Linked DNA regions of Macaca fascicularis. The protein of the gene in region 1 purifies or fractionates together with the protein of each later gene. This does not show direct contact. Links are inferred from orthologs where the notes say so. Each region holds a gene or a part of one and is shown on either strand. Other genes may lie near its edges.

The links. The genes of interacting proteins can lie anywhere in the genome.
Region 2: the proteins of PLOD1 (region 1) and HNRNPH2 purify together in Homo sapiens (affinity purification with mass spectrometry; 3 studies listed by BioGRID and IntAct, counting the BioPlex papers as one, with this or other methods). This does not show direct contact. The link is inferred for Macaca fascicularis from reciprocal best matches to the Homo sapiens genes PLOD1 and HNRNPH2.

Annotation. Positions count from the first base shown.
Region 1 is NC_088375.1:222,847,154-222,850,805, reverse strand, and holds part of PLOD1 (procollagen-lysine,2-oxoglutarate 5-dioxygenase 1), read left to right. Parts: intron 1-1,014; coding exon 1,015-1,127; intron 1,128-2,713; coding exon 2,714-2,777; intron 2,778-3,652. UniProt on the Homo sapiens protein: Part of a complex composed of PLOD1, P3H3 and P3H4 that catalyzes hydroxylation of lysine residues in collagen alpha chains and is required for normal assembly and cross-linkling of collagen fibrils.
Region 2 is NC_088395.1:108,081,431-108,085,182, forward strand, and holds the end of HNRNPH2 (heterogeneous nuclear ribonucleoprotein H2), read left to right. Parts: intron 1-945; 5' UTR 946-998; coding exon 999-2,348; 3' UTR 2,349-3,176; downstream 3,177-3,752. UniProt on the Homo sapiens protein: This protein is a component of the heterogeneous nuclear ribonucleoprotein (hnRNP) complexes which provide the substrate for the processing events that pre-mRNAs undergo before becoming functional, translatable mRNAs in the cytoplasm. Binds poly(RG).

The DNA.
Region 1 (3,652 bases):
TCCAGCAGCCAGAGGGGTCTTTAAACGATGCAAATCCAAGGCCAGGCGTGGTGGCTCACACCTGTAATCTCAGCGATTTGGGAGGCCGAGGTGGGCGGATCACGAGGTCAGGAGATCGAGACCATCCTGGCTAACATGATGAAAACCTGTCTCTACTAAAAATACAAAAAATTAGCCAGGCGTGGTGGCAGGTGCCTGTAGTCCCAGCTACTCAGGAGGCTGAGGCAGGAGAATGGCGTGAACCCGGGAGGCGGAGCTTACAGTGAGCCAAGATTGTGCCACTGTACTCCAGCCTGGGCAACAGAGCGAGATTCCGTCTTATAAATAGATAGATAAATAAATAAGATGTAAATTCACACACATCACTTAATGACTTTCCACTGCATGGAGAATAAAATCCACAGGCCTCTTTTCAACCTCAGATGGGGATCTGCCATCTGCCCTGAACAGACACTTTTTTCCACTGGTCCAGAGTAAGCACAGTCCAAATGGCCTTGCCCTGGCGCAGGCCCAGGAGTAGGGGTGTCCCATTACTCTTGTGGTTGCCTGTCACCAGTCTGTACTGTAGCTAGGAGCCCATGTGGGCTTTCCCACCATGCCAGGTCTCAGCCCCCAAGGCGCTGTGTGAGCTTGGCCCAGCCTTGCCCTTCTCTGGGCCAAGTTTCCCAGATAACTGTAAGAAGGGGCACGAGGCCTGTATCCTCCCAGCCCTGCTCTCCGGGGGCTCCTCGCCCAATCCGTTTCTTCACCACCTATGTGGTGCCCAGCACCGAACAGTACAGGTTAGTGGGCACCATTATCCTTGGGGTCAGTAGGAACTCACAAGTGGCATTCACTGGCAGGCCCATTTCCAACATGCAGCCCCACCTCCTGTCAATTCAGGACTTCTGAGAGGTGGCAGGGTTTGTGAGCATATGAGTGGAGGTGGATGAGAGGGAAGGGTGGGAGGAGGCCCCTGGGTTACAGGCTGGAAGCTAAGGGTCTGTCTTGGTGTCCCCACGCACCAACCTTCAGGCTTCATCGGTTATGCCCCCAACCTCAGCAAACTGGTGGCCGAGTGGGAGGGCCAGGACAGCGACAGCGACCAGCTGTTTTACACCAAGATCTTCTTGGACCCAGAGAAGAGGGTAAGAGGCAGGGGGTGGGCCAAAGGAGAGGGGTCTGGGGATCCACTGGCCAGGCTGCATGGGAACAGCTCCTCTCAGGCCTGAACCTCCGGGTTGGTGTCTTAGAGGCAGCATTGTTCAGTGGTTCAGAATAAGGACTTCAGGGCCAAGGTGCCTGGGTTCTAATCCCAGCTCACTGTTTACTAGTTGTGTGACATCGGGCAGCTTCTCTGTGCCTTGTTTTTTCCGTTATAAAATGCAATAATGGGCCAGAGGCGGTGGCTCACACCTGTAATCCCAGCACTTTTGGAGGCCGAGGTGGGTGGATCACCTGAGGTCAGGAGTTTGAGACCAGCCTGGCTAACATAATGAAACCCTGTCTCTACTAAAAATACAAAAATTAGCCGGGTGTGGTGGCGGGTGCCTGTAATCCCAGCTACTCAGGAGGCTGAGGCAGGAGAACTGCTTGAACCTGGGAGGTGGAGGTTGCAGTGAGCCGAGATCATGCCATTGCACTCCAGCCTGGGCAACAAGAGCAAGACTCTGTCTCAAAAAAAATTAATTAATTAAAAAAATAAAAAAATTAAAATTAAAATAATGCAATAATGATAGTACTTTCTCACAGAGATGTTGTCAGGATTAAATTGATTAATATATGTAGAATATTTTATTTATTTATTTGAGATAGGGTCTCACTGTCACCCAGGCTGATGTGCAGTGGCAGAAACATAGCTCACTGCAGCCTCAGCCTCCCGGACTCAAGCGATCCTCCCACCTCAGCCTCCTGAGTAGCTGGGACTATAGGCATGCGCCCCCTTAAAATTTTTTTATAGAGATGAAATTTCGCTGTGTTACCCAGGCTGGTCTCAAACTCCTAGGTTCAAGTGATCCTTCTGCCTCAGCCTCCCAAAGTGCTGGAATGACAGGTGTGAGTCACCGCACCCGACCCACGTGTAGAATATTTGGAGTAGTGGCCAGGCGCAGTGGCTCATGCCTGTCGTCCCAGCACTTTGGGAGGCCGAGGCGGGTGGATCACCTGAGGACAGGAGTTCGAGACCAGCCTGCCCAACATTGCAAAACCCCATCTCTACTAAAAATACAACAACAACAAAAATTAGGCATGGTGGTGCACACCTGTAGTCCCAGCTACTCGGGAGGCTGAGGCAGGAGAATTGCTCGAACCCGGGAGGCAGAGGTTGCAGTGAGCCAAGGTCATGCCACTGCATTCCAGCCTGGGTGACAAGAGGGAAACTCTGTCTCAAAAACCAGAATATTTGGAGTAGCTATGTGCTTGGCAGGCGCTGGTTACTTTTACGGCCGTCGTTGTTGTAGGTGAGCCGGCTGCATTCTTAGATTCCTTCCAGTTCAGAGTCCCTGGTTTTCTGTGAATGGAGCCACTAGACTGTAGACCCCAGGAGCTTGGCTGCTGGCCTTCTCTGGGCACCCAACTGCCCTGATGTGATATGGCAGAGTAGGTGTGGGGAGAAAGGGCCGAGGCTGGGGGACAGATTCCCCCCACTGGGTGAGACTGTGAGGGGAATTCCCCCCACTGGGTGAGACCCCCCAGGGCCTGTCCCTGCTGCAGCCTGGTACCCTCTTTCGTGCAGGAACAGATCAATATCACCCTGGACCACCGCTGCCGTATCTTCCAGAACCTGGATGGAGCTTTGGGTGAGCAGCCCCCATGGGGAGGGGTGGATCCTGAGAGGGGTGATAGGAAGGATTCCTGGCAGAGCCTGCGCCCAAGGAAGAGAACTGGGCTGCTTCTTTCTGGCCATTGTGCTGGGAGGTCACTGGGTTCATCCCTAGGTCCCCAGGGACCACTTGGATGTCCCGGCGCAGAGCCGTGTCTCTCTTGGGGGCCTGGGACAGGTGAGCATTCAGTCTGGGAGGAGTTGGGGGATGTGCACAGCAGGTGCTGGACCCCCTGCCCTGCATACGAGGTCCTTGCAGGTGGGCGCTCCTTCCCTGCTTTCCCGGCCCTCCCACCTTCCAGGTGAAGCAGTCCTAGGCTGGGGGCAGGAACTCAGCTGGTGGCATAGGCAGCTTGGGAAGCAAAAGGCTACTTGACCCTTGATGCCACAAACATCCCTGGGTCTGGCCTCATGTCTGTGGCTGGTGATGACATTGCTTTGCCATAGGTCTTCCTGAGTGATCTCAAGCAAGTCACACCTCCTCCCCACAGGGGACTCAGTTTTCTTATCTTTCCAAAAGGGAAGTGAACCAGATCCACTCATTGCTGACTTTGTGGCTAAATGGCCCTTTTGAGAATCTGATGAAAGCTACGGCTCTGCTCCCAGAAAGATGCAGAAACAGTGTGCCCTTTGCCTGTGGTTTCTGGGGGTTAAGAAGCACTAAGTTCAGATCCAGGCCAGTCAGGAGCTATCTGTTTTCCTTTTTTTTTTTTGTCTTAAGATGGAGTCTTGCGCTGTCGTCCAGGCTGGAATGCAGTGGCGAATTCTCAGCTCACTGCAACCTCTGCCTCCCAGCCTCCCAGGTTCAAGCAATTCTCCTGCCTTAGCCTCCCAAGTAGCTGGGATTACAGG
Region 2 (3,752 bases), on another chromosome or scaffold:
AGTATAATGTATATTTGCATTTACATCTTTAATAATGATATTTGGTGCTCCTGTAGGATCATAAGCCCTTTCTGGGCTTATTGATTCTTGTATGCCAGAGCTGAGTATTGGACATGGCAACTAAAAAATATTTCTAAAATGAATGTGTGAATTCCCAATAATGTCTTTTTTTCATTTATCTCTGAAGCCCAAATATTTCCCTGATTTTATTGATTTGCATACATTTGTATATAAGGAGATTATATAAAGAACGTATATAACCTGTGTTTTGTTTGTATTTTAATGTTTTGTTTAATCTTTTGATCTAGTGAAGTTTTTTATGTGTGTATATTCAGATATAGCCATCTTTTATTTGTTGACCTATCCCACTGATTTGTTGATGTTATTTTATTTATTTATTTATTTTTTGAGACTTAGTTTCGCTCTGGTGGCCCATGCTGGAGTGCAGTGGCGTGATCTTGGCTCACCTCCACCTCCTGGGTACATAAAAGTGGTTTTCCTGCCTCAGCCTCCCGAGTAGCTGGGATTACAGGCGCCTGCCACCACGCCCAGCCAATTTTTTGTATTTTTAGTAGAGACAGGGTTTCACCATGTTGGCCAGGCTGGTCTCTGACCTCTAGGTGGTACACCCGCCTGACCTCAGGTGGTACTACTGACCTCAGGTGGTACACCCGCCTCAGCCTCCCAAAGTGCTGGGATTACAGGCGTGAGCCACCACACCCGGCCGATTGCTATTAATTTTTAATGGTATCCAACATGTAATAGGCATTGAATAAATAACTTAAAAAATGAATGAGTTAAAAATTTGGTGAACTCTTTGTTTATACAGACATCTTACAGAAAAGCTGTCAGCATAGTTGAATTTTCTATTAATAGTTTGCTTTTTTATCTTACTATATCACGGGCATTTTTCCATGACAGTAGTCTTCTAATTTTTTTTTTCAGCTACACTAAAATTGCATTGAGCCAAACTTGCCACCAAGAGCCCAACAGTCACCATGATGCTGAGCACGGAAGGCAGGGAGGGGTTCGTGGTGAAGGTCAGGGGCCTACCCTGGTCCTGCTCAGCCGATGAAGTGATGCGCTTCTTCTCTGATTGCAAGATCCAAAATGGCACATCAGGTATTCGTTTCATCTACACCAGAGAAGGCAGACCAAGTGGTGAAGCATTTGTTGAACTTGAATCTGAAGAGGAAGTGAAATTGGCTTTGAAGAAGGACAGAGAAACCATGGGACACAGATACGTTGAAGTATTCAAGTCTAACAGTGTTGAAATGGATTGGGTGTTGAAGCATACAGGTCCGAATAGCCCTGATACTGCCAACGATGGCTTCGTCCGGCTTAGAGGACTCCCATTTGGCTGTAGCAAGGAAGAGATTGTTCAGTTCTTTTCAGGGTTGGAAATTGTGCCAAATGGGATGACACTGCCAGTGGACTTTCAGGGGCGAAGCACAGGGGAAGCCTTTGTGCAGTTTGCTTCGCAGGAGATAGCTGAGAAGGCCTTAAAGAAACACAAGGAAAGAATAGGGCACAGGTACATTGAGATCTTCAAGAGTAGCCGAGCTGAAGTTCGAACCCACTATGATCCCCCTCGAAAGCTCATGGCTATGCAGCGGCCAGGTCCCTATGATAGGCCGGGGGCTGGCAGAGGGTATAATAGCATTGGCAGAGGAGCTGGGTTTGAAAGGATGAGGCGTGGTGCCTACGGTGGAGGGTATGGAGGCTATGATGACTATGGTGGCTATAATGATGGATATGGCTTTGGGTCTGATAGATTTGGAAGAGACCTCAATTACTGTTTTTCAGGAATGTCTGATCATAGATATGGAGATGGTGGGTCCAGTTTCCAGAGCACCACAGGGCACTGTGTACACATGAGGGGGTTACCTTACAGAGCCACTGAGAATGATATTTATAATTTCTTCTCACCTCTTAATCCCATGAGAGTACATATTGAAATTGGACCCGATGGCAGAGTTACTGGTGAGGCAGATGTTGAATTTGCTACTCATGAAGATGCTGTGGCAGCTATGGCAAAAGACAAAGCTAATATGCAACATAGATATGTGGAGCTCTTCTTAAATTCTACTGCAGGAACAAGTGGGGGTGCTTACGATCACAGCTATGTAGAACTTTTTTTGAATTCTACAGCAGGGGCAAGTGGTGGGGCTTATGGTAGCCAAATGATGGGAGGGATGGGCTTATCCAACCAGTCTAGTTATGGAGGTCCTGCTAGCCAGCAGCTGAGTGGTGGTTATGGAGGTGGTTATGGTGGTCAGAGCAGTATGAGTGGATATGACCAAGTTCTGCAGGAAAATTCCAGTGACTATCAGTCAAACCTTGCTTAGGTAGAGAAGGAGCACCAAACAGCTACTCCATATATAAAAGCTGTACATTTGTGGGAGTTGAATAGAATGGGAGGGATGTCTAGTATATCCAGTATGATTGGTAAATGGGAAATATAATTGATTCTGATCACTCTTGGTCAGCTTCTCTTTCTTTATCTTTCTTTCTCCTTTTTTAAGAAAACAAGAGTTAAGTTTAACAGTTTTGCATTACAGGCTTGTGATTCATGCTTACTGTAAAGTGGAAGTTGAGATTATTTTAAAACTTCAAGCTCAGTAATTTTGAACACTGAAACATTCATCTAGGACATAATAACAAAGTTCAGTATTGACCATAACTGTTAAAACAATTTTTAGCTTTCCTCAAGTTAGTTATGTTGTAGGAGTGTACCTAAGCAGTAAGCGTATTTAGGTTAATGCAGTTTCACTTATGTTAAATGTTGCTCTTATACCACAAATACATTGAAAACTTCGGATGCATGTTGAGAAACATGCTTTTCTGTAAAACTCAAATATAGGAGCTGTGTCTACGATTCAAAGTGAAAACATTTGGCATGTTTGTTAATTCTAGCTTTTTGGTTTAATATCCTGTAAGGCACGTGAGTGTACACTTTTTTTTTTTTTTTTTTTTTTTTTTTTTTTTTTTTTTTTTTTTAAGGATACGGGACAATTTTAAGATGTAATACCAATACTTTAGAAGTTTGGTCGTGTTGTTTGTATGAAATTCTGAGGCTTTGGTTTAAATCTTTCCTTGTATTGTGATTTCCATTTAGATGTATTGTACTAAGTGAAACTTGTTAAATAAATCTTCCTTTTAAAAACTGGAAAAAATCTTGTGCTGATTGATTTTTATTATGTTCTGTCATATGGGCACGCTGATTGACTTTATAATTCCCTCAAAATTAAAATTTTTAATTTTAAAATTATAAACAATATATTTAGCATCTTTATATGTTCATTGTTGCATATATTATTAATTATTTCTAAGATATATCCCTAGAAATGGGATTGCTGAGTCAAAGATATACTCATTTTTAAGGCTTCTGATTTGTGTTACCAGCAAGATTCTGGTACTTTATCTTTTTACCTGGAGTGTGTGCTTTATTTTCCCCCTTATGCCCTCCTTATTGATGCACATTATTCTTTGTGATCTTTGCCAGTCTGTTAGTTGAGAAATGATATCTCATTGCAATTTTAATTTGTATTTTTTTGATTAATATTAAAGTTGAACATTTTCTTCTTTTTTAAAAAAACTTACCATGTCTACAGGACTATTGAGCTACTTTTGGAGCCACTTACCAAGATAGTATTCTCTAAAATCCAAAGAAGTGAAAGCGAATAAATAATCCTTTGTATTTCATCACAAACTAGAAGGCACCTTTGTATGTTAAAAAAGAAGTAGGCTTA